Arabidopsis thaliana: one gene and its partners. The protein of the gene in region 1 interacts with the protein of each later gene in a pairwise test. Each region holds a gene or a part of one and is shown on either strand. Other genes may lie near its edges.

Region 1 (8,105 bases):
GTGGAATCAAAGTTCATATAGTATGAACATGAAGAACACTAGAAGGTCCAAAGATTCAGCCTAGATCAATGTTAGCTAGAGTCTTTTTTGTTTGTTTGTTAATTTGTTGATTGTTAGCTAATTTTATATCCCCATGAAATGAAAGATTAGACATAAAAAACCCACAACATACTTTCACACATACTAAAAAGCAAAGTGTTTGATATGCCATGTAATTCCCCAAAATAACATATCCTTAACCTTAATATATAAAACAGTGGTAACTAAAATTGGTTAACGAAAAAAAAAACAAAAATTGGTTAAGGATTGTTTTTTATTTTTTGTAAGTTGAGGGTTATTTTGAAACATATTGGCTAGTTTGAGGGTTTTCTTGCTAATTAATAAAGAAAAACGACAAAAAACAAAAAACATGGTTCTAACAATAAACCGAACAAGCGTGGTATGGTTCTATTACTAAACAGAACAATATAAAAAAACGGTTTAATTTACCCAAACGAATAAGAACAATAACCAAAAACTCCCAAATTAATTTTGCTTAAGCAGCAGCAGAAGAAGAAGCATGGCGGAACAAGAATTACAGAGAATCAATGAGAAGAAGCCATGGCAAGTTCTCGAGTTCTACAGTGGAATCGGTGGAATGGTAACAGTCTCCTTCACCTCCAATTCTATGTTTTTAGTGAAGTCTACTCTGTCTCATAAACCCTAATTCCTTTTTGCTCTTAGAGATACTCTTTAATGGCGTCAGGCATCGTCTCAGAAGTAGTAGAAGCTTTTGAGATCAATGATTCTGCTAATGATGTTTATCAACATAATTTCAAACATCGTCCCTATCAGGTTGCTTAATGCTTATATATGATATAATCAATAGAAGCATTGTTACATTTGCAAATCATAGATGATGCTAGTTCTGTGACTTAGTCCATGATTAGTTCTTATTGTTTTGGTTGTTTTTCATAGGGGAATATTCAGAGTCTCACTGCTGCTGATTTAGATAAGTATAATGCAGATGCTTGGCTTCTTTCTCCTCCTTGTCAACCTTATACTAGACAAGGTGATTCATTTCACTGTTGTTTTCTTTACTATCAACATGACTTGCTTTTGGATACTAACAGTTTTTTTTTGGTTAGGCCTTCAGAAACACTCTGGTGATGCTCGGGCTTTTTCGTTTCTCAGGATTCTTGAGCTTATACCGCATACAACAAAGCCTCCACAAATGTTATTTGTAGAGAATGTTGTTGGATTTGAGGTATAGTGTTTGCTTATGCTTCCCAGCTAGAGTACTTGTTCTCGATCATCTTCTTTGAAGTCGTGACATTTTTGCTTATTGGTGGTGTTTGTTGGTGCAGACTTCGGATACACATATGGAAATGATTGGTACATTAACAAAATTAGATTATGTCACACAAGAGTTTATATTGAGTCCGCTGCAGTTTGGTGTGCCGTATTCAAGACCACGTTATTTCTGCCTGGTACTTTCTCTTTACCTTATGATTGCGTAGTGCATATCTGTGTACCTAAAACTGTTAATTTTAGTAGTCTGAGAATGTATAAGTATATGCTGATTATGAAACTTTCTCATGTAGTGTGCACTTTCTCATGTATATGCGTTAATCTTTTTGTTTTAGTTAAAACGTCACTAACTTTGAAATCATTTGATTTACCTGGTGTCTTTGTAGGCCAAAAGAAAACCTCTGCCATTTAAGTCCCAACACAGTAATAACAAACTACTCTGGTCTCCAGACCCGTTATATGGGCGTGATGATCAGGTTGAGTTTGGAAAATGTCAAGCAGAAGAAGGATTGGATAAATTACTTGAGTTTTGCAAACCAGTAGAGAAGTTTCTCGAGTTAGCTGCACATGTTGATGGCGAGCCAAGTAGTGTTGATGACTCTGAAAATGGGTCCAAAGATTGTTGTGGACAAGAAGGCGATTCTGTCCCAGACTCTGTACATCAGTATCTAGTACCAGTTAGTTTGATAGAGAGATGGGGAAACGCAATGGACATTGTTTACCCTGATTCAAAGAGATGTTGTTGTTTCACAAAGAGTTATTATCGATACGTGAAGGGCACAGGTTCCCTATTGGCAACTGTCCAGGTACGTTCTTCCATGGAGTATACAATATTACTTTCCTCTGTATTTGCAAAGTGAAAAGAAATGCTTATCGTGAATCTGTGATCACGCAGCCAAAAATCAAGGGTAAGGAATCTTGTTTGAAGGAGCAACGGCTTAGATACTTCACCCCTAGAGAGGTTAAGCACTGTCCTTTACTTTTACTACTAATGCCTCACTGAAAAAGTCAGCTTTATTTCATTGAAAGATGATGTTCGGTTTCTATTTGTTTAGGTAGCTAACTTTCACTCATTCCCTGAAGATTTTGAGTTCCCCAAGCACATAAGCCTTCGACAAAGGTACGCTGTTCATACCGTCAACACCATCTAAGCCAGAAAAAGCTACTGTCTATATAGATTATGTGCATCCAAGTATAACAGAGGCACCGTTTTGATTCGAATATAGAATTTAACCCATAATACCCTTATTTCTCCCGTACTTCCTGTTTGAAATGTGGAAATAGTTGAACACAAGAACATGAATCTCATGAACTCCTCTTTGTGCAGATACGCAATGCTTGGAAACAGTTTAAGTGTAGCAGTGGTGGCTCCTCTGCTTCGGTATCTATTCGATTCTTGACTACACAATTTGATGCACTAAGTGACGCGACCAATTACCGGAATCAGTTATTCTCCTGAACAAGCTTCTACTACTTTTTTGTTTACTGATAAAGTTCAAACTGATGAACTTACGTTTTGTTATCGATCCTTAACTTTATGGGCCAGTATTTTAAATGGGCCTTATTCGGCCCGTTAATCATAATTTCTTACCCAAATTTCCGTAAAAAGTGACCATAATATTGGCATGAGACATGAGTCTTTTGACTGTCTCTCTCTCTCTCTCAGTCACTTTAAATTATTTGAGCAGCCGCAGCGAGAGGAAGTTTTCTTCAACTGCGACGGAGCGTGAAGTTCACGCTCCGGCGGTACTACCTAAGGTTTGTCGTTAGGGACGTTACTTTTACGTTATTACTTGCTTCTTCGCCACTTTTCTTCATTTTTTCCGACCAGAGATATTTTGTTCCTCCTTGTACGTACAAAGTGTTTGTTCTTTTTTTACTTTTCCAATTTTTTGGCTCTAATTTTATGAACAAATGCAAGTAGGTCATCATACAAACCCTAATTTTGCAGAACTGATCCAGCTTTGAAAAGAAAAATGTTGCCTAAGAATGCTATTGAGAAGATCCAAGCAAATGTGAGCAAGCCTTGCTTCTGGAAGTCTCTCTCTCCAGGACAAACTTGGAAATCTAAATCCATGGTAACTTCAATTATGACTCACTCCTCCTTTGATATTTACTCACTGTTCTTAGACTCTTTCTATTGAATTTGCTTTGTTACAAGTTTATAGCTTTGGATGTTGTTGCTAGAACAGTAAGATGTGATAATCCTTTCATGTTTAGTTTAGCCCTTTTATAGACAAGTTATTACAGAACTACCCGTTTGTTGTTGTTTGAAAAAGTTCAGATCTTTTCTTCTTTTAAGAAACTTTGGAGACATTCTAATGGCACAATGCCTCCTCTGCTTCTTGCTGCTTGGTCTTCATTTTGTTACTTATTGACCTGTTTTAGCTACCGTTATGGGTACTTTTACGTCGCAGGTTTCGTTTGCCCTTAGCTCATGTTTATGCTAGTGTTGGTTCTAGTCCTTTTCTCTGCATTTCTTGACCTACAATCCAATCTTTTAAGCTCGTGTTTTTGCTGCTTGTGTTTTTTCTGTAGAAAGTTATAACTTTTAGTCTCATGTTTCCTCTTTTGAATGTAAGTATTGTTTTGTTGATTTCTGGGTTTATTAAGAGGATAATTCCGGAAGACTTTGTGAGAAGAACGCGTGGTGCTTTTGAGCACAGAGTGGTGTTTAGTGTTCGTTGGGAAAACTCCTGGCAACTCTGGCTGGAGCGAGAGAAGAACGAGCTGTTTATGATAGAAGAAGATTGGAATGAGTTTGTAGACGACAATCATTTAGGTCCAAATGATAATCTGTTCATCAAACACGATGAGACGATGAATCTTGAAGTGCAAATCTTTAAGAATAATGGGGTTGAGATCATTGATGTACCTCTTGGAGTTGAACCCGAAACTGAACCATTTCATCCTACGCCCAAGAAACCTCACAAGGAGACAACCCCTGCCTCTTCCTTTGCCTCTGGCTCTGGCTGCTCTGGTAAGGCTATTCAGATCGATAGAATCATCAAACTCCAAACTATCATTTGTTCTCTATGCCAATGTTTGATTGGATTCTGTTTTGGTGGAATTCTCAGCAAATGGAGGGACAAATGGCCGAGGAAAACAACGTTCTAGTGATGTCAAAAACCCTGAGCGATACCTCTTGAATCCTGAAAACCCTTACTTTGTGCAAGCGGTGACAAAAAGGAACGACGTTCTGGTAATAATACAAGTGTTTACATTGTCAGCTTTTTATTCCATTTGTGGCCTAGAAAGCTAAAGCTTGTCTTTGTTTCCTGCTGTATGTGCAAGTATGTGAGCCGACCGGTGGTTCAGAGCTATCGCTTGAAGTTTGGTCCCGTTAAGTCCACCATTACCTATCTTCTTCCCGGGGAGAAAAAAGAGGAAGGCGAGAATAGAATCTATAACGGGAAACCTTGTTTCAGTGGCTGGTCGGTTCTATGTCGGAGGCACAATCTGAATATCGGAGACTCCGTGGTTTGTGAACTTGAACGCTCCGGTGGTGTGGTTACCGCTGTAAGAGTGCATTTCGTCAAGAAAGACTAGACCAATCCTCTCTAGTAACAACAATATGTTATTTACAACTTTCTGTAACAATGCTAAATGTGTCAATTATGTGTTAGTTTAACAAACTTGTCAATTCACTTGCAATCGAATCGATTCTAGAGTATGATGGGCCAGTTTCTAATATGGGCCATATCCGGCCCAATAATATTGTTTGACCATTTTATTATTTCCATACACAGTACACATTTGACACTTGTCACAGTGCTGTTGACTGTTGAGTCTCCTCTCTTTCTGAAAGCAGAGAGATTCGATTTGGAGAACAAGGGCTGAGAAGAGCAGACACAGCAGCGAGAGGAAGCTTCTTCGACTGCGACGGTGCGTGAATTTCATGCTCCGGCGACGTTACTTTTGACGCAATTACTTGCCTTTTACGCATTTACTTTGTTCTGACTTCTGACCTAAGTTTTTTTCCCCTTTGACCGTACAAATTTTGCTTCTTTCTTCGTTTTTCTCTGTGTCTCTCATTAGTCACCATTTTCGTGTTCTCTGCTTTGTAACACTTTCGGGTTTAGCTACTGAAAGTAAGAAAAGCGAGATAACGCATTAAAGGTTTAATTTTTATCCAGTTTTACTGTTTCACTGATTTCATTACATGCAAGTCATCTTCGTCTTTGTTTATGAACCCTAATTTTGCCGAATCCATCCAGCTTTTGAAGAGAACAAGATGTTGCCTAGGAATGCTACTGATAAGATACAAGGAAATGTGAGCAAGCCTTGCTTTTGGAAGTCTCTGTCTCCAGGACAAAACTGGAAATCTAAATCCATGGTAAAACAAAATTAGTCTCTCTTCTTTTCTAATCTTTCGAAAATGTAGCTCCTTTGATTTTGTACTCACTGTTATTTCCATTGAACTTCTTTGTTTGCTCTAAAGATCTATTGTTCGTTTGTTGTTCTTGTTCGAAAAAGCTTTTGATCTTTCAAGAAACATTTGAGGAGATTTTAATGGCACAATGATTCCTGCTTCTTGTTCTGCTTGACAAGCTCGTGTTCTGCTGATTGTATTTTAGCTTTTAGTCTCATGTTTCCTTCTTCTAATGTCAGTATCGTTTGTTGTTGTCAACTGTTATGATTTCTGTCTTTATGAAGAGGAGTTTTCCGGAAGAGTTTGTGAAAAGCACGCCCGGGGCTTTTGAGCACAGAGTTGTGTTCAGTGTTCGTTGGGGCAATTCTTGGCAACTCTGGCTGGAGCGAGAAGAAAAAGATCTGTTTATGATAGAAGAAGATTGGGATGAGTTTGTGGATGACAACCATTTAGGCCCAAATGATAACGTGTTCTTCAGACACGATGACAAGATGTTTCTTGAAGTGCAAATCTTTAAGAATGATGGGAACGAGATCATCGATGCACCTCCTGAAGTTGAACCTGAAACTGAACCATTTCATCCTACTACACCAAAAAATTCTCACAAGGAGACAACCACTGCCTCTGCCTCTGCTTCTGCTTCTGGTATGGCTATATTCAGAATGAAAGAATCGTTTTGATGCTCTTCATACTCAATACTACTCTTTTCTTTTCTCTCAATGCCAAAGTTTGCTTCTTTTTGTTTCTGTTTTGGCAGAATTTTCAGACAATTGGCGAGAGACACATGGTTGTGCTGATATCAAAAACCCTGAGCTGTACCTTCTAAACCCCAAAAACCCTTACTTTGTGAAAACGCTGACAAAAGGGAATGACGTTTTGGTAATAAGAGCAGTGTTTTCATCAGTTTTGATTCTAGTTTACGTTTGTTGCCTCTAAATCTAAGACTTATCTTTCTCTCTATTTCTCATGTACAATGTGCAACTAGTATGTGCCCAAAACAGTGATTAAGAAGTATGGCTTGAAGTTTGGTCCCCATTTGTCCCCCATGCATTACCTTCTTCCCGGAGATAAAATAAATGGCTCCACTAAGATCTATGGCGGTGGCAGTGCCCCTTGTTTCAATGGCTGGGTGGACCTATGTCGAAAGTACAATCTGAAAACCGGAGACTCTATGGTTTGTGAACTTGAACGCTCTGGAGAACTGGTTACTGCTGTTAGAGTGCACTTCATCAATAAAACATGAGATGAGTCCTCTCTAGTCTCTTTTCTTTAACATTCGTGTTTACCAAACTTACTATTGTAATGTTTATATGTGACCCTTATGTTGCTTTAACAAAACTTAAATGCTAAATTTCTTATGCTTCTGTTACTTCATTGGAAATGCTCGATTGTGATTCAGTCTTATATGCTCGTGAGAAGTAAAATATGCATACAACTTTATTGTAAGTTTTGTAACTCTTCCATAAAAATTAAAAGGCCTAGATACATAAGATATAGGCAACGTTTCTTTTGCCTTCTCATACAAGAAAATACAATATAAGCAAAGGCCCATCTGCCTATATAAAACCCTAACTCTCGTAAATAAAACTCTGTTTTTTTCACCTTCTCGTTTCAATAAAATCCAACACACACCAAAGACAGTTTAAGGAAAATAAAAGAAGACCACACGATGCATTTTCTTGTAATAGGATTGGTGATTCATCTATGGTTTACGAACGCTTATAAGCTTGACATCATCGATCACAGGCCCACACAATGACGAGAAATCATCGCTCCTCATGGCATAGAAAGTGCTGTAGAACATAATTCTTGATCGGGTCGAAACCGCCACAAATCGAATAGAAGCTCGTTTAAACCCTCCTGTGCCTTTCGACTCGTAAGGGACCTTAAGTGTATCTTTTCCTGCAAAAGCCTCAACCACCATTGATCCTTTGCAAGCATTGTTGGCGTCTCCAACCGCAAAAGACAGCACGTAAGTCTTCCCAATGACAGTCCGAACCACTTGAGCGATGGCACTCTCTTTACCCGCTACAAGCTCAATAGCTCTGCGACCCTGTGGGACTGAGAAATGTTCAACGTCTACGTACTTGACAGCTTTGAGAGACTCCACCATCCATCCAGGTAAAGGAGAGTGGTCGTCTTCTATAAACGGTGGGATCAAAACTCCAGTTGTCGAGCCGGGTAATACTAATGGACCTTCTTCAAATCCTCCGTTTTTCAAAATGTTCTCTGCCAAATCAAACATAAAAGAAAATCATCATTATTCACATGTTCAAGGATTATAAAAACAGAGCAAGAAACAGAGTATTTATAGTAATGACTTACTATTAGTTGGTCTAGGAGGGTAAAGAGATCTCATAGCAACACCATCAATAAGTGGACCACAAGCTGGATCTTCCTCAACACCAGGATTATGAATCACAACTTCAGCAACATCACTCTC
Region 2 (8,021 bases), 5.8 Mb from region 1:
ACTAAACCTAAGCATGGACATACGGTGACCCGCCGGCCGACCAAGCTTCCTGAACTTCGTCATTTCTGCGTCGGAGAAGTGATCTCTGAACAGAGAGAAGAACCCTAAAGGAGGAGGAGAGACTGTAACTCTGTGAAGCGCCTACTGGGTTTGGGCTTTGGGCCCATATATATCCTCTCTTTTTTTTGGACAAAAGGGCCCATATATCCTACAAACCGGTTTTTGACTAATTCTGTTCTAAACTAAAATTTGGAATCTGCCTCAAAAAAAGTTCCAACAGATTTTGGTTGCTGAATATAACTAAGAGAAAGCAAATTAATGTCTCACGGAAACACGAAACAAATAAAAATTGGTCCCAAACATATGAAAGCTACAGACGAGTAGGAAAGTTCACATAACCAAACTAACACCATTAAACATAAAAGTAGTTTACTTCAGTTGCTTGTTATCCAAGGCACCTTCACATCCATCAGCATCATTCATCAGTGAGTTATTCTCTCTTATGGCTTTGAGACAACTAGAAGCAGCTCGAGTGGTGTGATGAGGGTGAATTTGCAAGTGTCCCCAAAAACAACAGGATACTCCTTGCACAAACGTTTCCATCCACCAGAGAAAATTTGACCCCTCTCTTTTACCACAAAAACAACCTTCCATGTCTTCTCCCCATCTGGATGATGGATCTTGACCCTTGTTTTCTCCTTCGGCATATAATTTCCAAAAGGTTTCGGGATCGCCTGAAAAACCAAACCAATTTTGTTCGTCAATCATTAACATATCAAGTTTGACACAAAAGCCAATATCAGAAACTGTGTGTTAGTGCTCTTATCATACCAGGGATTTGATGTATGATTTCGAGATAAAGATTTTGAATCCTGCAACAGAAGAGGAAGGTTCGCCTGCATAAACTCTCTCCTTACTAACCACTCTCTCCGTCCTCTTGGAATTTTGGGTCCTCTCAGTCCTCTTGTAAGTTTGGGTTTCCTCAGCTTTCTTCTTCCCAAAGTTGAGCTTCCTTTTGTAGCTGCCTCCTCTATTAGTTTCAGCTGCTGTTGTCGGGCCACGAGACCTCGAGTCAGAAGACACCAACACCTCTTCCTCCCTCTTGACATCTTGTTCTGTTTTGACACGACCTGTTTCATCATCAAAAGTATGAAGAATCAATGTCTTTAATCCGGTTCACTGTTTCATAATCAGAGAATCAAAATCTTACTAGAAGAAGCGAAAGAGGCTCTGGATTGCGGAGGTTGCATCATCTCCTTGCCATCTTTGTTGAAGATTTTCACAGTGAAGCTCATCTGTCCTTTGTGAGTGAAGGTAAGAAACTCGTGGTCTCCCAAGGCATTGTCTATCACGAACTTCTCCCATCCAGACTTCTCCATGAAGTAGAATCTCGGGTTCTTGGAGATTTTTACTTTCCAAGAGTTTCCCCATTGCACTCTGAACTTCATGTCTCCGGAGAGCTCATTGTCAGAGAAGTTTATCACAAAGTCGTACGGAATCGCTCGCTGTGGTTATATAAAAGAAAGATGAAAAGATATAAGTAAGATACATGTCTGATATTAATATAAAACAGTGAAAAATCAGTGAGCTTTTACACATCCCATCAAGAATCTGAGTACAAAGTTTCAAATCTAACCATGAAATCAGTGAGCTATAACACACAAATGACAAACACAACAAGACGGTGAAAATGAACAGAACAGATCTCATCCACAAGAAATAAAGTACACATCTTCACATTCAGACAGAGAACTGAGAACTAAGAGAAGCACAAAACCATGAAAAAAGTTCCTCAGAAAAGAAAAACAAAAGCTTTTTCTAGACCCATAAAGACAGTTAACGACAAGATTCAAACCTTTAAGAAACCGAAAGTTTAACCTTTCTAGACTAAGCTAATTCAACAACATAAAGAGTTTAGAACATAGTTTACCGTGTCCTCTGAAGACATGTCGGAACGCTTAAGAACTTTGAAGAAGCTTTCCTGCTTCCTCTCTTCTTTGCACCAAAGAAAATCAGGGTTACTTGCCATCTCTCTCCTTTGAAATGTTCTGATTCAAGCTCTCACCTACAAGTTTTGCTCCTTCAACTTGCTCGTCTCTCTCACTCTCTATCTCCTCTCGTAATATTTTTCTCTCTGTCTTGTTGAGCCGTTGAATATGTAGCAAAGCACCACTTAAAATTTCAAAGATATGATTCAATCAAAGTGGTCAAAGTGAAAAAAGCTTTCCTCTCAATACTGAAACTGTAGTACAATTGTGACTTCATCCTTTTTGGATGTGTTCATTTAATTCATAGCATGCGATTATTATGCATAACAGATGAATCTCTTTTGGCGTTAATACATTTCGGTGACTGGAAATAAGAAGTACGACACTAGGCAAGTACTGTAATTATACTTTTCTGTTTAGGTAATGACTGTATTGGATTAGTTCTTCATTTTGATAAATTTATGAAGAAGAGTATAAAAGAAATTATAACTTATTTGGCAACCACTTAAGGTGGTGAAGTTGTCTCCAAGAACATATAAGAAAAAGGTTAGGATTTCATTTGATATCAAACAAAAGTTCAGCAATTGACATTTGCCACATCTTAATCTCTGTAATGTCATTCCAAATCCAATTATTCTACCGCTAACTTCATAATTAAAGGCCATATATTCAGCAGCCCTACATTTATAATTGACCTGTAATATGGCAACAAAAAGAACATCTGATCTAGAGACTCTGTAGAACTGTTAGAATTGAAAGATCAGAGGAAGTGATGAGTAGGATACTCATGTTCATAACCATTGTAGTCATAATAGAGCCTTTCCCCTTTCGATATATCGCGTGTAGCCACTAGAAGAACTCGACATTCGCCGTTTATGCTATACCTCACGCATTTGCAGTTCTGCTTCTTCTTAGCAACCCTGCAACAATCAGTGTGATGTGATGATTCAATGTTATAAACCAGTTTAGTGGGGGGAAAACAATTTTGAATTTGTTGCTTACGGATTGTGATTGTTAATGCCATTAATGAAGCGAGATATGTTTCCAAACTTGTCTGGACAGATAACAAGAGTCTTTGAAGGATCTTCTGATAAAAGGAGAGTCATGATGCTGTCACAATCGTCTTTTTCTCGGTTTTTCAAGTAATCAACATCCCCTGTATATTCAGCTATGAATGTTAAGTCCTTAATAGGACCATCTGCTTCAACTGTGTAACTGTACAAACGGAATAACCAAAGAACATGTTTACAACTCCACTTTGTCATTATGGGAAGGTTGATCGAAGGAATAGAGAGAGATACCCTTCAAGCGGATCAAATACCACAACGAGAGGAGGGCATTCTCCTCGTCTATACATAGATTGACATTGTTCCAATGTCTCTAAATCTTCTTTGCATAGCACCTGCGAAAAGTAAAAACCGAGATAAACAATCAAGGAAGTAACTTAAAATAAGAGAGTTATGGATAAATGGCTGAAAGATTGTTTTTGTTTATTACCTGCATCCCACCTTTCTCTAACTTGGATTGATTTGCAGACCGAGGAGCCATTCCGGGAACATAATTTAAACCATCGCTGTATTTGATACCCAATGCCGTTAATGCAGAAGCAAGTGTTCCCATTTGTGCAAGCCTCTGATCAGGATCTTCTGATGGAACCAAAGGTAAGAGTTTTCTCCTTCTTTTCTTCACTGTCAAAGAGCAAGATCGTCTCCGCTTTCTAGTTTCTTCTTCAAAACAAAGAAATCTCAATCTCAAACACTTGTTATTAGTTTAATCCTGAAGCATCTATGATCTATGTATATGATATGTATAAGTTCTCATCAATGCTTATTAACCCTACATAAGGTGCAACAAAATTTCAAGCATATAATAGGCCAAAGTTAAGCTATTTCATATTCATCTAACTATTTAATCAAGTGAAACATCTCGTCAGATTCATCAACTCAAGAACTTTATGATCATATCATGAAATCCAAAAACAAAAATCGCACCTTGACTCAATTCCAATTTGTCTGTTTGATGAGTATGCTTCTCAATCCGAAAGAAATGTAAAATCTTCTTCTGAGATAACCCTAAACATTTCACCGGACAAGAGAAAAATCCATTTTTTTATTAAACAAAGAACACAAGAAAATTAGGAAATTTAAAAGCGAAGAAACAAAAAATCCATACTTCTTACAGGTCGTTGGTCGGAACAATCGACACAAAGCCAAGTTCCAATGGGGACACGAACAACAATGGGTCTAAGGCATTTCATGTGAAAGCCTCTATCGCATTTGTCACAGAGAAGAAGCTCATCGTCTCCTTCTCCAGAACCACATTTCTCGCAGGTGACGTTACTGTAGCTGTCTTCGTCTTCTTCTTCTTCTTGTTCAACCACAGGGACAGATTTCGCCATTATCTCAGCCATTGATTTCATCTTCCTCGGTGGTGGAGATTCGGAGGAAGGGCGTCTCGCTGGAGCTTTCGTTCGTCGCCTCGATGAGCAAGGAGACGCCGCAGGGGAGGATGCGTTCCATGTGGCCATGACGGAAGCTCACGACGAAGAGTCGCCGGAGAACGGGATATATGATTTTGATTGGTTGGGGCTAATGTGCACCGCCGCGTGTGCGCACGAAAACTGATGTGCGCATCACCTGGAGTGTAATTTGGGATTCTTCCTTTGAGACTCTTCTTTATCGGCTCTTTTGTTTTTTTGACCTTTGACAAATTCAAAATTACTGGTATGTCTTAAAAGGTTTAAACATTGTAAGTGATACTAATAAATTTACAACCATTAAAGCCTTTTAATTGTTACTAAATTTCTTAACTAAATTTTACTTATTTAATTTACTAGGGATTGATATAAAAATTAATACAGTATTAACTATACTATACAAACGTAATTACAAAAATAGATATCTTTCAATTGAAAAAAAATATATGTTGGTGGGCTCAATACAAACACAGTAAACGTCAATTTCGTCAACTGAGCCACCCCAACGCCAAGCCCAACAGTCGGTCCGCCTCATTGGAGGCTCAAGTTCTTTATTTGACAAGCTAAACCAAAGTGTTCTGGTTTGACCAACAATGTAATATTACATAAATCTGAATCTATAAAATACAAAATTTAATAAATTATGTCTTATGGTTTAACATAATTTTCTGTTTCCGATTTAAGAATTTTTCGCCATATTGATTTTCATAATTTTATATACATATATAATATCTTTCAATTGTAAATTTTTATCTTATAATTTTATATATGAATAGTTTTCTCTATTTTTTTCAAGGTTTTTAATTAATAAGAAATTGCGGTGTTAGCGTTAATGAAATAGTTATGGTATAGACTATAAAGAATAATATACATAATTGGAACAAGTGAAATGGTTGTTTGATATATTCTTGACGATGAGAGCAAAACTTTCTTATCATATTTTCTGAACCGGGGTGTATGCTAGGTAATTTTGTGGCTAAGTCCTTTATTAAGGTTGTTGCACTTCTTCACAAGGATGAAAACTTAAGTCTTGCATCGGTGGATGCTTCAAGATATTCATATATGCTCGCCATGTAAGTTTTGCTTATACTAATACTGTTTAAGTCATAGTATTCCAAAAAAATCAAAGAAATAAGACTATTACTGGTCCATCACAATGGATTCCCTTCGAGAAGCCCGCATCGATCTTTCTATGCCTTATGAGTTTTGTCCCTATGAATATGAGGAATATGAAAAACATTCTTGACCTTGCTTCTACTACCGTTAAAGTATGATGTCTCTCTCTTCTCCATGTATCTTGTTACATTCATGCTTGACCAATTTGTTTGTGTTTCATTCATGACCAGTTTGCTTGTGTGTTGTAGATGATGCGTCATTGCTTCGATTATTGGCGTAGTAATGAATTTCCCTTGTTTAAAAACCTTGTTAAACTATCGTTTGAGTCTAAGACGAAAAAAGGTTGGAAAGTTCTTTGGACTCTGATAAAAAGCTCTCCCAATCTAGAAACTTTGATCCTCAAGGTTTGTATGTATAATATGATCTCTTTTTCTCTTTCTCAATTATAAATTTAATCTCGGAGTTTCACTTACTGTGTGTTCTTTTCTTTTCTATCCGTTGTTTCAGGGTTTTCAGTGTGTAAGTACTTGTGGGTATAGCATTGATGGAAATACGTTGAAGGTGTTGGAGTTATACGGGTGTAGAGGGAATCTTAGAGAAGTCGAACAAGTGAGGCTGTTCTGTCGGAAAGTGAATTTCTTCAAGTAATGAAAGTGGAAATTGGTACTAAGGTTGATGTTGACAAGAAATTGCAACTCACCAAAGACCTCCTTCCTTATCCTAACGTTCCTCCAAATGCCAAATCCACTTCTTGTAATCTTTTAAATCCAATTTTGTTTTTGACTGCTCAATCAATCAAGATTCAGTTTGTTTTAGATACAAAGACAACATCTCCCTTGATAGAGCATATTGATAGCTTTACTTTTAATACGATTTTGCCAAGTCCAAACATAAAATTCTGGTTTAGAGTATCAACATTGCAATGATACTAGTACTAAAGAACATTGCAATTTATTCTCAAAGTTCTAATGGCATTGGCCGTGATAACAATTCCATTCACCTTCCAAAAAATCTCTTTCCTTACAACTTGAATTTTTTTTACCAACAAGTAATAATCCCTAAAGAAGTTAATACGGAGGGGGGATAATCAAAACGGCATAATATGTGTCGTTTTGGTTTCGTATACCGAAAGGCAAGATCTTGAGTTCACCTTGAACACCTTAAGAAGATCCGTTAGCATATGCCTAACGGTAAGCGAGCAATTACTCTGTAAAAGTAACAGTATCTTCGTAACGCCGTTAATTCTAATAACGGCATCTTGCGCCTTCTTTTCCTTGAAAAGATAACAGACGCTCCACAAAACCGTAACGGCGTGTTCAGTCGCCGCCGTCGACACTTTCATCAGCTTATTCACCACCGTCTCCACGCACACACCATCACAAATCTCCGATCGACCTTCTTTACAAGACGAAATAGCTTCGAGAAGCTTTAAGCATTTTTCCGTCACTGAAACGCTCGTAGTTGGATCTGTTAACAAACTCGTGAGTTTCGTGACTAGCTTTTCTCTGATTAATGCGAGTTTCACGCGTTTTGAAGACGCAATCGCGATTAATAAAGATAAATTCGCTTCGATTAAGCTTGAGTCGGAATCTGAGCTTATCAATTTAATAATCTCGGTGACCAATCCTTCTCCCTTGGCGATTATAAGCTTTGACTCTGCGTCGACGGCGATAAACTCAAGCACGGCGGAGCAATCGATCTTCAATTTTGGATTCCCGCGTTTAATCAATAGGAAGAAGGAAGTCAAGCAATCACCACCGTTCGTTAAGATCAGATTCGATAACCGTCTCCGATCGAAGATTTTCCGACGAATCATGCTCAGAATCTTCACCGCTTCTCCAACGAGTAGCAATTGAGAATCAGAGAAGTTTCTGGAATCGCTAATGAGATCCACAAGCATCGCTACGAAATCATCTTTCCCGGCGAGAAACTCTCTGTTCTCATCAGATTCTCTCGCGAACCGGAGAATCTTCGAACGAGCATCATTCTCGATCCGGAATCTCTCAATCGCAGCGTTAATTTCGTCTCGCGTCGGAGTATCGGATTCCGGAGACTCAGAATCGGCTCGACGGTTGATGGAGTCGGACCAGTGATCAATGAGACGGTGAAGAGTTAGGTTAGGTACGAATTCTTTGTTCTGAAGAATCTGCATCGTCGCGGGACAAGTATTGTTACCATCATCGAGCCAACGTTGGATGCTAACTCGGTCGTATGTAACGCCGGTGGAGAGACTCACCGGAGATTTCATCACATCAAGTGAAATTGGACATTTGAAGAAACAAGGGACGGTGGTGATGTAAAGATCATCGCTCCTCATGTTTTTGCTCTTTCTTCTTCGGCGAAAACGTTTCAAAGAGAGAATAAATAACAAAATCACTGAGAGAGAAAGAGACGTGACTCGTGTGGTTAGGTTTTAAGAAGATGATGAGTCATGAGAGAGA
Region 3 (7,440 bases), on another chromosome or scaffold:
CCTTGAGGAGTGGATGATGGAGACATTTCATTGCTCCTTTTAACACAAAGGAAACAAATAACAGGTTGGTCCAACTTCTCTTCCTATGTCTGTTTCCGGTTCGGTTTCGATTGATTTTAACGGTTGAATTTCCGGTTTACAGGTGTATAAAGGATTGTAATTTTGTCTTGGTTAATAGAATTTCGCATATCAAACCGGTTCTTTCATTTATCATGTCAGGAGTAGGAGTTAAAAGTAAATTTTACAGTGTAGGTAATAATTAATTTGTAATCACAATTTAATTCAGTTTGATTCTACTCATAAGGTAACAACAGTTTAATAAAACTTGTTTTTGTGCAGGATTATTAAACTGACAGATGGAAGGTTTTTTTTAGTTCTTCATCAGTCTTTTTAGGGATAGTTTTTGATAATATTATTATTGTAAATTGAAGTGTGTTCCCGAGACAATGATAGTGTAATGCTTGTTGTATAAGTAAGATTTAGCCGTTTAATAAGTGTAACAAAAATACTATACAGCAAAAGCAATTATTTCATTCATTATGATAGTTTTCTTACAAAGGAAAAGTGAAAAGAATAAAAAGATAACGTCTTGTGATGATCTTTGTACTGAAAAAGTTAGGGCTTCTTGATAACCTCGAAGCTCACTCATTCTCTGATTCTATGTATTGGAATACAGAAATTCAATGATTAGTTTTATTTTTTCTGCAATCTCATAAAGAGTTATAATTGTAAGCAATTAGTCAAAATATCAACATTCAAATACCTTTGCATTATTTTTTGTAGCACTGCGTGCAAAAGGTTTAATAATTTTCAATCATTAGTTTGAGTATATAAGCTGTAATTTAATCAGATGAAATTTGTATATTATGTTTTGAAATATTAAAGGTAAGAGAGAGAATAGTGTAAAGATGTGAATGTAGAATGAAATGATTGAAAAAGAGTATGAAAGTGCAGAGAGTGTATTGTGTAATCTCATGCTTTTCTCTTTTTCCTATTTGCTCATGCTTTCTCTTGTTTCAGCTTTCGTGATTACAACAACACTTCTAAATTCCCTTTTTTTTTGGGTTATTTATTTTAAACCCAAATTAAAAATAAAATAAAAACATTCTTGTACAATGTGAAGTGAGACAATGATCAGCTCTATTTTTTTTTTCATGAAAACCCCTATTTTTACCTAACATTAACAAATAAATAAAAATGGAATGGAATATGTGGTCCAGAACAAGAAGTGTATATCGAAATGATTTACTTAAATACCTTTAACTATTACTCCAATCCTATTAAAATTAAAGTCCATCAGCTATGATTTACAGGAGTGGACATTCTGATATTTTATCTAATTCGATAAATGTTGCGGTTCATTCCAAATTTGTACCTATTTAAAGGTAAAATATCTATATAGTCTTATCGAATTTTGGAGCTAAGATTATTTTTAATTCCTAAAAACATATGTTTAGTGAGCTAGTTAGTAAATGAATCTAATTTTTTTGTTGGTTAACAGAAAATATCACATACTTACATAGTGATTTCAAATACTAATAAATTGTTTCATACTATATGCGTATATCCTATATGGACTGACTGGTCAGACATATTGAACGGAGTGGAGTCTTTATTCACATAACCTAAAAATAACTTTTTTTGATATGCATGTGTATCTATAGGCCAAATATATTTTAGTTCTACCACAGAAGTTAAAATAAATTGTATTAGTAATATATTTAGTCCTTTGAAAGTGGGAAACGAAATTAGCCTCACACAAGCACAGTGATGATTGATTTCTTCTTCTTTTTTTTACCCAAAAAAATCCATTTTTTCTTGTAATTTCTTATTTCCAGATTATTTTCTTCATAACAAAAAAAAAAGAAAAGAAATTGCTCACTTCACTTCTCACTAGATTCTTTATAACGAAACCTCCACTACACGGGCCCTAAATTTGGGCCACATGGGCTTCTCTCTTAACGAATTACGCACGAGTAAACTTCATTTTTCCAACAAGAAGAAGAAACTCAGGGGAATCTAAAGATTGTTTACTTTAATTTAAGAAATATGGAGAAATCATAATAAATTAATTACGTACTACTTATAGTAAATTTGTTGAATTACATAAATTCATAATTCAAATTTTACAAATACTTTTAATATCCTGTGTTATTTTAACAAAGCTGGTCTGGCTCTTAAGTTCTCATCCCAAGGACCATGGGATGTTTTGCTTTTTTTTTCTTTTGCTTGTTGGATGAGTATGTGAACCTTTTTATGGATACAGGACGAATCCCATTGTTTTATTTACATTCTACATTATTCGTTTATACGCTTCTATTAACCTTTGATTTTTAAAACTCTTCTCTACCTATCAATTTGTAATCGGATGATCCCTCTAACCTCACTTCTGTCTCATGCACTGACTTTAATTGTTTCGTAATTTACAATGTAGGATTTATAGATTTTTTTGGCAAATGAAAAACAGAGTGTTTACATCATGTATTACGTATATGAATCATACACTAAATCCAACATATATATGTAGAATTGCTAATTAATCTTTTTGTTGATTAATTACTTCAAAGTATCAGTAGACAAGAAACTAAACATAACAGTGTCTCTTACACTTCCCTTGATACATATAAACTTCCTCATCACACCTTCTCTAGTAAACCCAACTTTTTCAAGAACCCTTTGAGATCCAACATTGTCCACATCAACAAGTGCCTCAAGCCTTTCAATCTCTGGAAATTCCTCGAATACCTCCGCGGTCACTAGCCTCACTGCTTCCGTGGCAAACCCTTTTCCCCAATACTTTCTCGCTAGGACATAACCAATCTCTTTTCTGATGTTATCAACCGCCATGATCAAGATGTAGCCGATTGGACGGTCGTCTTCTAAGCAGATGGCTCGGAGCCAAGGGTGTGTCAGGACACGATCGGTTATGTATTTGATAGCTTCGTCTCGGCTCGTGCAAGGCTCCCAAGTGCAAAATCGAGCCACTTTAGGATCTGTGGCCCAAACCATGTAGTCATCGACGTCGGAAAGAGTCATCGGCCGGAGAGATATTCTTCCCGGAGGCGAAGAGCTCATTATTGGATTAGTTTCTTCTGAGTCCATCTCCATTTAGGATTAGTGATTGTTTTAGATATCATATCACTACGTCTAAGCGATGTCTTTATACACATCGCGATCTTGAAAAACTTTGAGATTCTCCCTTATTGCTTTTGACTAAAAAAACACTAAATATTACCATTTGCTATAGATAAGTGTATTTAGTGTTAAATATACGACATAAGATGAGGTGTCATCGTGTGAGTGGATAATTGTCTATATTTGACCTTGGACTTTCGACACTTACTTGGTTGCCAAACAAAGTATTGTTCTGGTTTCGGAACTTAATGTGTTGCTTCCAGTTGGATGCCCACAATGCCACGTGTCAAATCGTGTGTGGTCTGATTCCCAAAAAGGATTTAACTGTTTCTCAAGTTATTCTAAATGGATTAAATATTTTAATACTGTTAATATTTGTGGTGCAAATGATCGTAATCGTTTGTTATATACTGTCAAAATCAACTCAAGAATCAAGTCACTCAACATGTTGTATGATTAAGTAATTTAGCTAAAGATTAATTAATCGAATGTTATCAGAATTCCATTCATCTATCGCTGTAAAACTAGCTATCACACTATCTTTTTATTGTATAAAATATTTCATGTTTAGATTCAAAAAGAAAATATATATATATATATCATGTTTCATTTTGTACTTTTAATTTTCAATATAAACTTACATTTTTTCTGAGATAGTGAAGCTTTGTTTTATTTGGTGAAGTGAACATGGTAAATAGTAAATACATTACTCTCAAATTATAAAAAATAACTTTTGTATGAAATAGTTAATATATAAGGTTACAACTAACAATTACATAAGAAGAAGAAAGATAGAGCATCACATCAAATTATACATGTGATTTTTACAAACTAAGCAAAATATAAATTTCGACATCAAACAAACTTAATATATATATTTGATATTTGTTAATTCAAATCAGATCAGTGCAACGAATCAGAAGGCAAGAAACTAAACATGACCATATCTCTAACATTTCCTTTAAGATACATAAATTTCCTCATCACACCTTCTTTCACAAACCCAACTTTTTCAAGAACCTTTTGAGATCCAACATTGTCAACGTCAACAAGTGCCTCAAGCCTCTGCATCTCTGGCTTCTCCTTGAATATCTCCCCCGCCACAAGCCTCACCGCTTCAGTGGCGATCCCTTTCCCCCAATACTTGCTTCCGAGGACATAACCAATCTCTCCTCTGATCTCATCGACTGGCGTTACGGAGATCGAGCCAATCGGACGGTCGTTATCTAAGCATATAGCTCTAAGCCAAGGGTGTGGCAAAAGAGCGTCGTTTAAGTACGCGATCGCGGCTTCTCGGCTAGTGTAAGGCTCCCACGTGCAAAAGCGTGTGACGTTTGAGTCAGTGGCCCAAACCATGAAATCGTCGACGTCGGAAAGAGTCATTGGCCGGAGATGGATTTTCTCCGGAGGTGAGGAACTCACGGTGGATAGGGTCTCCGGTTTGATCGTAGTAGTTGAGTCCATCTCCATTGACTTTTTCTTGGTTACTTTCCTTTTTGAGTCTTTGAAGCTTCTTTGGGATTCTTTAAAATAAATTATCTCTCTCAATTCTTACAGATTTGTGTAGAGGCATTATGATAATACTTCTTCTACAAATCACGATTTAAATACTGATTTTTTTTTAACAAAAAAGAAAATAAACAGAACGTTCCTTCTTGCTTCGATCGGTCAAATACGCAACAATTAGTTCTTGTTGAATGGAAGGTGTGAAAAAGACGGTTTATAATGGGTATGGGTGAACCGTATATTTACCATCCATTCATCGTTTTTGATTTAAAAGAGGTATATTCAATCTAGTATTTAAAGTGACTTTCGTAAATTTTACAAGTATATGTTATTTAATTATGGATTTTGAAAATTCTAATGAAATCTAGTGTTATTAAAATAATAATTTAAAAATCTACCTTTAAATTCACTGTTATTAAAAATAATTTATGGATTTGATTTTTATAAGAATGTATTCAATCTAATATTTTAAGTGATTTGTGTAAAATTTATAAATTCTATGTTGTTCGATTATGGATTTGAAAAACTTTAATGAAATCTAGTATTATTGAACTAAAGATTTAAAATTCTATCTTAAAATCTATTGTTATTGAAAATAATTGGTAGATTTGATTCTTATTAATTTTGAAGGATTTGAGAAAGTTCTTTAGTTAAAAATAACAAAATCGAAATTCATGGTCTTATATAGAATTTTAAAATATTTTATAATAAATCACATCAATTTTCCTAAAATCATCAAACTCATATAAAAACTAGCTAAAACTCAAATTGTAAGGTCCAAATTAATGAGTCAACTCAACTCAACTCAACTCAATCCATGAACCCTAATGAGTTGAAAATTTTGACTCAAATGAGTTGATGAGTCAAATGAGTTGATGAGTCAATTGGTTTGATGAGTAAAATGAGTTGGGTTGTAATGGTTAATGGTTTCAATGGTTTATCCAATTAACCCATCAAATTTTGTAAAATTGAATTAAACCAACTAAAATCTCTAAACCAATGCCAATTTAAGTCTAACCAACACATCTAAACCAATTTAATAAAATTAATATTTTTCCAAATTTCTTAAATATACAAGCGATGAAATTGAGAAAAAGTAAACCCGTAATTTTTCCGCCAAAAACGTAAATCCGTGATTTTCCCGCCAAAAACGTAAATCCATGATTTTCCCGCCAAAAACGTAAACCCGAGATTTTCCCGCCAAAAACGTAAACCCGTAAAAAGTGGAATCCGTAAATATATTAAGTTTTGATGATAATGAATTAATAATGATAATTATTTATTATTATTTTATAATAATAATTAATTAAATTATTACTTAAATGGGTTAACCCATTTAACAACTCAACCCATTAAATTAAATGAGTTATGGGTTGACTTAACCCATTTAACAAAATGAGTTGGATCAACCCATAACTCATTTAACCCTAAACTCATTTGATTATGAGTTGAGTTGAGTTGTGTTACCCATTTTGACACACTTAGATCTAATACACCTCTTTATTAATTTTAAAGGATTTGAGAAAATTTAAAAAGATTTATTTAGTTACATATATAAAAATTCAAATCTCATATTTTTACTGGAATTTGATTTTTTTTTTTTACAATAAATCACATAAAAAGACATTAAAACTCAAAATTATTTAAAATATAAGGTTCAATACATATTTTGTCAATAAAAATTTAATAAGCTGCTAATATAGTTCATGAGAAAAATCAAAAATTAATTTATCAATCGAAAAAAAAGACGAAGAAAAATTAATTTATCTACGTAGCGCAAGAGACGGAGTGTTGTTTATTTAAAGAAAAGAAAGAAAAAAAAAAGAACGAATATTAAAATGGCGAGTCGCTCTCTTTTCTCTATCTCAATCTCACCTTCTCAATTTACAGTTTTGCCATCCATCAACAACGAGAGACGACGCCTTGCTATCGCCGCTCGATCTCACCGACTATCACGCCGGAAGATTCGTAAGAGACCTCCTGATAGAGATATGTCCTCCATAGTTTCAATCCCGGAGCTTCCTCGCCGGCGGGATTCTGAGGAAAGCCTGCTTTTAGATTCTCGAATCAGTAAGTTCTTAAAGCAACAGAATCCTCAGAAATTGGCATTTGGGATTAGGTTTTGCAAGTATCGAAGCTCCATTAACTGAATCCTCAGAAATGTGTGTATATGAATAGGTGTAGCTGAAGGAGATACATCGAATACAGATGTAGAAGGAGACAGAGATACTACTTCTAGTATTAGAACACAGCCTCCCCCTCGTAAAGGAAGAAATCTTAGTAGCAGCAGAATCAAATTCTACGGTGTTGAATTATCACCAGATAATGTTGCTGTAGCAATGGTGTATTTTGTTCAAGGTGTTTTAGGACTCGCTAGGCTCGCTGTTAGTTTCTATTTAAAAGATGACTTGCATCTTGATCCTGCTGAGGTATGCTTTTTGTAGTTCCTTGTTGGACTTTCATGGGAATATCTCTTTATAGGCTGACAAATATATACCTCTTGACTAGACAGCTGTGATAACGGGTCTTTCTTCATTGCCGTGGCTTGTTAAGCCTCTCTATGGTTTTATCAGGTATGAGTTCTTTATCACCTCTATACCTCTTGACTGTGATAACTGTTTAAGGAAGTTGGTCTGTTTTGCAGTGATTCAGTGCCTCTATTTGGTTATCGAAGGAGGTCATATCTAGTTCTCTCGGGACTTCTTGGTGCATTTTCTTGGAGTTTGATGGCTGGTTTTGTTGACAGTAAATATAGTGCTGCTTTTTGTATACTTCTCGGTTCCCTCTCTGTCGCCTTTT
Region 4 (7,468 bases), on another chromosome or scaffold:
ATCGTGTAGTTAATGTGGAGAGATTTAGGGAAGATTGTTAAATGTCAAATATTTAATTTGAAGATTTTTTTTCTAATTATCAAAAACAAACATTAAAATCCAGTGGTACGTATTGTAAATAAGTTCCAATTATAGGATTTATTTCACAAAATAGCTGCAAAAATATATATGTAGATATGATGAATTTTGGTATAAAATAATTAAGTTTGAACTCATAACGGTGAGATAAATATCTAAAATATCTCATCAACCAATCAGAGACCAACGCCCTTCTCCAATTCACAAATTTATTGTATTTTTTTTTATTGTCAAATTTTTTACTTAAAAGCTTACACATGGCATGGAGAGACCTATTTTCTGCATTACAACATGTGGTAAATTATCAAATTATTTTTTAATTTGCCAGCAAAATTTCAATAGGCTCATTGCATTGCATCAATTGTTATTTATCAACATCCTCGTTGTATATAAACTAAGTCTCCAGGGTATGACAGAGATACTGATACCAGTTCATAAATTTGAGTGTCGTGATTATGGTATCGTAGGATTCAAAATCTCATAAGAACTGCCATAATGAGAGACAAAAAAAACTATTGAATTAAAGAAAGAAATCAACTTCCACCTCTCCGTATTCATCTTTTCCTTAATCGTATTTTATCCGTAATTTTTAGTTCAGATTTTGTATATATTCAAAAATCTACCTCTCCGTATATATTCAGAAATGAGTCTCTCAAGCTTTAATTCATGTTAAATTCACTACAAACAAACATGACGTTACACTTACACATTTCAACCTATCATTGTTTTCGATGGTCATAAACCTCTGACAGCGAAACAAAGACTAATTATCAAATTGCTATGGCCCATTAATTTTCAGGGCCGGCCCTGTCTGAAAGTTGTAAGGCATTGTAAAAAATGAAGTTGACCACGATCTCAAATGATCTACGAGAACTTGTACAGTAATTCTTCAAACAATGTTTCATTAATAACCTACATATAGTGGATTATAGAATAGAATCACACTTATATCACCATATCCATCACATTTTGATACTAAGAATTAATCATCATTGTACCCACAAAAAAATGAAAAAAGATTGATCATCATCGTATCAATTAATATAAGGAAGTTCTTTAAAGTATTTATTTAGCCGGTTAACAAAAAATCATATCAAAACTTTTGAAGATAATATTAAGGATAAGAAAGTGTTTGCTGAAGCTGAAATGTCAATGTATAGTAGGTCCACAGGAGATTCTGACGGCATATTGGAATCGTCTCTTCTGTCCCCACACGGAGTGTACCATACCAACGCTATTGCGATTATTCTAATTTATATTTAATAAAAGAATTTTCTAGTCATCATCACTTACTGGAGTCTCGAAATTTGCTTTTTTAAACGTGTCTAAAGAGTCAAATTCATGCTTTTACATTATGATCTAATTAAAACTTTAATTTATAATTTCACGCAATTAGGCCTAACAGAAAACTGAACGTATGGGACAATTAAAACATTTCATACTAATATAATATTGACTGCAACAGTTGTTATTGATACTGATTATAGTATATCTTTAGGTAATCAAAGCTTTTCAACGGACTCATGCTCACTATAATATGGAATAAACCTGTACTTTTGAGGCGGCCATAGTACGAATTGGTACGTGCACGTCAGCTCGTGTGTATATATTATGGGTTATATGTGTCTACATAATGGACTTTCATCAAATAATTTTGTTTTTAATAAACCATAGGAGTTTCAGGTTTTTGGTCTATAATCTTACCTATTTTTCGGAGTTAGTCTTATTCCAATTTAACGAATACCACAACGAAAACCGAAGACGAAGCACAAGGTAACCACCCTTTTTTCTAAGTTTTTATAAGATAACATTTTTTTTTCTTGGATTGAGTTTTTTCCTTGGTTTATATTTATTTCTCGTATAAACCATATGATACTATCTGACTGACAAGGAACCAAAACATTACATATATATTGAAAATTTGAATTAATCATATTGGTATTTATGACATCATCATTGTTAAGAGATTACAAATTGAACCCAAGAAAAACAGTAAGGGTCGAAAATTTATTATACTTTACTGAATATAATCGAAAAACCTTGGTTGATGATATGACATTATTAAAAAAAAAATCAAATGGTTAAGCAATTAAGCGAACGTATATCAATTATTAGAATTCCATATGGACTGAAATTGCTGCATTTCAAAAAACTCATCCCTATCGTGCTGACCAAAAAATTGTCCGTATAATTCTTCGTAGTCAGCAACTTCCAAATCCTGCATCCACCCCATCCTCGGCGAGTCTAATGGAGACTCATTAATCGCTTGAATCTGATCCGGAGACAATCCTACTCGAGAAAGTCCTTGACCAGACTCGAGAGCTGGTTCACTCAACCTACCTGGTTTAAACATAAGTGCTGCATCTTGTGCAGCCGCTTGAATGTGCTCCGAACTAGAGCTTTCCGGCCGAGGAAAACTGTCGACGAGTTCCGGAAAGTTGAGATTGGTCCCACGTCCTCGGAGGTGAAGAGCCGCAGCATCGTAGGCCGCTGCAGCCATCTCGGCCGTCTCGTAGCTTCCAAGCCAAATCCTTGTTTTCTTACCGGGTTCTCGGATCTCCGATACCCATTTGCCCCATTTCCTCCGACGAATGCCTCTGTAGGACAACTGGTTAACGTTGAAGCGGTAATCTCGTTGGCCAACGTAAGTGTTTTCCATAATTAATACAAGGTTATTTTAGTAGCACTATATTGTGTGTGTGTGTGTTTGTGAGTGTATATAGAACTGTGCGAATTAGTTTAGAAGTTTTGAGTTATAGAGTCAGTGGTTAAGTGAAATTGTATATATAGAGAAATAAAGAAGACAATAAATGAGGGAATAGAATTTGTGGATGGCTTGTTTGGTTTCAGGTGAAGTGAGCTTCCTACGTAGTTACTTGTGAAGTGGAAATATGCTGTCATGCATGCATGGGTCTCTATTACTTACATGGATATTGTACATTAGCAAAGCTGTCTTTAAGCGTGTACAAATAGTGTGTTGTGTGTATTTGAAAGAAAACGCTGATTGAATATTATTTTTTTGATTGAAGACAAGTTTGATATTTATATGATTTGGGTTCTAAATTTTTTTAGAAATATTTTTTTACACATCAAATATGTTTTCAGTAAAAACTTTGTACATGCCTTCCAAGAAAATTGACATGGCCTTGATAAATATATTTCATATTTGGTATATTCTGGGCCTTAGTTAGATTATAGATATTTAACTTGATCAAAAAGTTCAAAATATTTAAACTTTTCAACTAGGAAATAGATTTCATAGTTCATACTGAGATAAATTAGTGTTTCATATAAAAGATCAATTATTTTAAGTCAAAGTAGTATATTGTGTTTTGTTGTTGTAAGACCAAATGAAAAGAAAAGCAATTAGTCCTTTATATCATGTGTTGGTTAGAACTTTAGGTTCTCGTACAAAAGTCCATATATGCCATATCTCAAGAGTCTTGACAGCAAATATGATAGTAACATTATGTAACTGCCCATAGAGTCATAGACAATTAAGTTGACCAAAATAATGAATTGTTCATAACGAAGAATTGGGGAAAGAAACCCATCTAAATTAACCAAAATTTGATTTTATGAAATTCTAAAACCCGACCAGCAGAAGATCGATGCTCTGTCTCCAAATAATTTCTTGATGTGTAGTAAAACCTCATGAGCCAAATTCCAACCCTAAATAGTTAAATGGCTGCATAATGGTCACCACCGCCACTAAGGCACTAACAACCACACCGTATCGAATTGTGGAAATCCGTACGGTCCATCCGGTGGTCAAAAAAATACTTTCAGTCTTAATCTCACCGCCCATTATATATTGTTGCTTATCTACAAGATTTGGATCCTACATAAGAACTCAACAAGTATAACAAAGTTTTGCTTTCCAGTCTATTTTTTGAACTTATACGTTCCTTGGTTCAAGAACTCATGTGTGTAATTTAATATTATTTGCAAAGAAACATAATTAAGAATTGAATAGTTTAACGTATATAAACATGAATTAAGAATTGAATAGTATAACGTATATAAACATGAATTATGATATTATTTCATTCTTTTGGTCAACTTTCCTTGTCGTTGTGGGTAGTGAAAGTTATAAAAAAAACTTCTATGCAAAATAAATTAAAATAGTAAAAACTAATTGAAACCCCAGGAATTAAAATTTAATGGAAAAATATGTGCATAGAGCAAATTAACAATCATCAATAATAATGGAAAGAGAAATGTAGATGAATTTTTCGGCAAGGAGCCAAGTCTTCAAAGCGGAAGAGGATGGAAGAACAAAGATGTGATGAGATCTTTGAGCTTGCCATTGGGATTGGTGAAATTATCACCCTCCTCGTAATACAGATTGACCAATCGTACAATGTTGAAGCACCGGACCAGAATCGGACGTGACACACTTTTTATCGTCAAGAACTCTTCCATCATTATCTTGTAATTATCTCTAATCATCTTCTTAATTTCTCGAACCGCCAATTCCTTGGTAACATTATGTTGCTTAACGTAACAGTTCACCCCATTAACCACTTCTCCTCTCCTCATCTCCTCCTCGAAGCCGGCTATGTCGTTTGTAAGACGAAATATAACACTTAAAGCTCGTAACATTTTGGGTTTGGATTTGAACCACGCGTTCGTTTGATTCTCCTCACAATCTTCCATCGATATAAAGCTGTACATTGCAAAGCATCTAATCCCTGACGAGTCAAGCCCAAGCTCAATATAGTCATCAAAGGTTGGAACGTGACCTGCTCGTGCCCATTTTGATATTTCAGCGTACGCTCTCCCCATGATCTTAATCTGCAAAATTCTCAATATTAAACACAAACATTAATTTATATGGACATTGATTAAAACTAAACCCTAAAATTGTTGGTGTACCTCTTCTACGGTGTCTTGCACACTCGAGGATCTTCCTCGCGGCTTCATTTCTCTTTCAATATCTTCCATTGTTTCAACTATACTTTGGATGACGATTCTTAAACAGCTCGGTAGTTTGTCAATGGCACCAGGATCCCACCTAAGGATTTTCCCATGCATGTGCTCGTTAAAAAATGACGTCATTATAAGACCACATGATTCATACTTAGTAAACTACCTTTCCAAAGAATCAATAAGACTTCTAACTTCAGAGAAAGTTCCATATGCATCACAGGTGTCATCCATAACTACTATCACTTGGGAAACTTTAGTGGCTATAATTCTCCCAAGTGAATAGTGTGGCTCGAGATACACCGCCATGACACCGATAAAGGTCTCTAGAAGCCTGTCTCTGATGTAAGGTAGCTTATATGGAAGATCAATGTCTTTCCACCATCTTCAACCACAAAAACATTAAATAGAAAATATTATAAGAATCTTACATCTAAGATTATATTAAAATATAATATAAAAGACACATACCAATCAACATATTACCTACAGGTTTTGAATTGAAAGCTCACTAAAAATTATATGATAACAGATGTTATTCCAATTGACCCGACATGAGTATGTTGCCTGATAAAAAAAAAAAAATCTAAAAGAGGGATTTAATTCGAGATGGGCAATCCTACAGGTCAAGCCTAAAGTAAGATGAGATCTAAATTAATGTATAAGATATATAAATCTATCTACTTGTTATCTCTCTGTTTTTAGTCGGAATCTCATGAGTTTTGGTAAAGTACTAAAGGATGTACATATAAGAAATTCACCGGGAAATATGAATAAAAGTAGGCCAACATACTTGGTGAGAGTTTTTAGCTCTCTAACGTAATGTAGCTGGCAAAAGTTGAAGTTGAGCTTCGCAAACTTGAGCAATGTCTCATCATGACCTTCTTTTTGATAGAAATGAATATATTCCCGGGCAGCTATTATTTCCATCTTAAGAAACCGAGGTTTATACAATGCGTTAAGTATATGTCTTGAGATATGAGGAGCTGTAGCTTGTTGGCCGGCCAAAGATTCCAAGTGATACCTTGTGAAACTCAAGGCTTCGTCCAATATAGTTTCGAAGGGTGTTGCGAGATGCGCTGCTTCGTACAGCTGTAGCATTCCCCGAACATCACTGACTAGATGTTCCTTGAACTTGGCATCAACACCTTTGAATCTATCGAACACATCTAAATTGACACCAGGATATATATATATATATGTTATATATGTATATAGCTAAATACATATGTAATGGTATAAAATATGCATCCCATTGAAAAATGGTAATAATGGGAACTGCATGTCTTACCACAAGAAATCTTGTGTCCATATAATCTGAAAACCTCAAACATGATGGCAGTTGTCTCCAAATCATCTTCGTCTGTAAATAGCATGTCCAACTTCCGAAAAGCCTGTTCTAGAATCTCTTCAATTTCCTTCTCAAAGTAATGGAAAGTACCAAGGCAAATAAGCAAGTGTATGAGACATATTCTCTCTTTGTCAGTCTTGTGAGACGACATTAGCATGTTTCTCACTTTCGGCTTTATTGATTCAATCTCTGTCTCTAGTGTATCAAATTCCTACAAAATATCAGTGCTCAGAATAATGTTCTACAATAACGACTGATTATGAAACACATTCATCAGATCAGGTACTTACCGAGTTTTCGGTGGGGACAGAGAGGATGTGATCTCCCCAAAGATCGGGAGCACTGTGAGGCAAGGGACGACTACTCTCAACACCACTAGTCTTACTACAAGCCTTGACACATAAGTTGAGTTTTGTTGATCTCCGGGAAAGAGTAGTGTGGTTTTGAAGCAAATGCATAGGAAAGAGCGAGAGTTTGGTCTTAAGAGGAAGTCGAGTACCGTTGCCAAGGTGAGGGAGAGTTTTAGCTCGAAAACCCATTCTTGCTGCTTCCATTTTTTTGTTTCTCTTCTGTATTTGATTTTTTTTTTCCTAAAGCTTTCTCATCTGTACCTTGTGGTCACGCTTTAAATACACATCATTGGAATCCCAGTCATGTAACATTTATTGACGGATTTAAAAGTGGTCAAAAAATTAAATGGCATCGTCGTGCACATGAGATCCGAAAAAAATGCGAGGGAAAATGATAAGGTTCATTTACCTATAGGGAATCTACACAATCACGTTACTCCTGATTGCTTTATCCCAGTGTGCAGCTAACAATTTACTTATAGAAAAATTGTTTTTCAGAAAAATTAACCATGTGAAATTAATTACGTAGAATTAATGGGATTGATTCTCCCAATTTAAGTAGAATCTCGATGTTTGAATTAAAAAATTTCAAACAAAGAGAAACACAAACACGTGGTTCTGAACACTACTATGCATGCAAACATGGTTTGGAGCATTTATACGACAAAACTAAACGCATTTTGTTTTCCTTCGTAAAGACAGATACTATGTATCATTTTTACGTTTTTCTACTAAAACCCTCTTACTTTCTTCAACGCTT

Evidence for each region.
Region 2: the proteins of AT5G25475 (region 1) and AT5G09780 interact in a two-hybrid assay, tested with the Arabidopsis thaliana proteins (one large-scale study listed by BioGRID).
Region 3: the proteins of AT5G25475 (region 1) and AT2G32020 interact in a two-hybrid assay, tested with the Arabidopsis thaliana proteins (one large-scale study listed by BioGRID).
Region 4: the proteins of AT5G25475 (region 1) and AT1G33760 interact in a two-hybrid assay, tested with the Arabidopsis thaliana proteins (one large-scale study listed by BioGRID).

The regions. Positions count from the first base shown.
Region 1 is NC_003076.8:8,864,654-8,872,758, reverse strand, and holds AT5G25475 (AP2/B3-like transcriptional factor family protein), read left to right. Parts: upstream 1-2,937; 5' UTR 2,938-3,048; exon of another isoform or gene 3,049-3,241; 5' UTR 3,242-3,266; coding exon 3,267-3,368; intron 3,369-3,678; coding exon 3,679-3,729; intron 3,730-3,828; coding exon 3,829-4,270; intron 4,271-4,367; coding exon 4,368-4,492; intron 4,493-4,584; coding exon 4,585-4,839; 3' UTR 4,840-4,962; downstream 4,963-8,105. Other genes in the region: DNMT2 (DNA methyltransferase-2), read left to right, coding at 560-640, 724-834, 958-1,051, 1,128-1,246, 1,347-1,469, 1,677-2,096, 2,186-2,251, 2,346-2,410 and 1 more; AT5G25470 (AP2/B3-like transcriptional factor family protein), read left to right, coding at 5,525-5,626, 5,947-6,307, 6,420-6,541, 6,648-6,905; DGR2 (transmembrane protein, putative (Protein of unknown function, DUF642)), read right to left, coding at 7,365-7,891, 7,988-8,105.
Region 2 is NC_003076.8:3,036,456-3,044,476, forward strand, and holds AT5G09780 (Transcriptional factor B3 family protein), read right to left. Parts: upstream 2,160-8,021; 5' UTR 2,030-2,159; coding exon 1,931-2,029; intron 1,506-1,930; coding exon 1,211-1,505; intron 1,131-1,210; coding exon 832-1,130; intron 735-831; coding exon 501-734; downstream 1-500. Other genes in the region: AT5G09770 (Ribosomal protein L17 family protein), read right to left, coding at 8-63; ATXR5 (TRITHORAX-RELATED PROTEIN 5), read right to left, coding at 2,749-2,908, 2,991-3,203, 3,290-3,390, 3,486-3,715, 3,980-4,060, 4,161-4,515; AT5G09800 (ARM repeat superfamily protein), read right to left, coding at 6,668-7,897.
Region 3 is NC_003071.7:13,628,637-13,636,076, forward strand, and holds AT2G32020 (Acyl-CoA N-acyltransferases (NAT) superfamily protein), read right to left. Parts: upstream 3,294-7,440; 5' UTR 3,109-3,293; coding exon 2,557-3,108; 3' UTR 2,344-2,556; downstream 1-2,343. Other genes in the region: AT2G32030 (Acyl-CoA N-acyltransferases (NAT) superfamily protein), read right to left, coding at 4,039-4,605; AT2G32040 (Major facilitator superfamily protein), read left to right, coding at 6,480-6,711, 6,820-7,070, 7,150-7,214, 7,286-7,440.
Region 4 is NC_003070.9:12,233,213-12,240,680, reverse strand, and holds AT1G33760 (Integrase-type DNA-binding superfamily protein), read right to left. Parts: upstream 3,135-7,468; 5' UTR 2,738-3,134; coding exon 2,183-2,737; 3' UTR 1,971-2,182; downstream 1-1,970. Other genes in the region: AT1G33750 (Terpenoid cyclases/Protein prenyltransferases superfamily protein), read right to left, coding at 4,333-4,875, 4,957-5,095, 5,174-5,392, 5,801-6,176, 6,299-6,569, 6,649-6,912.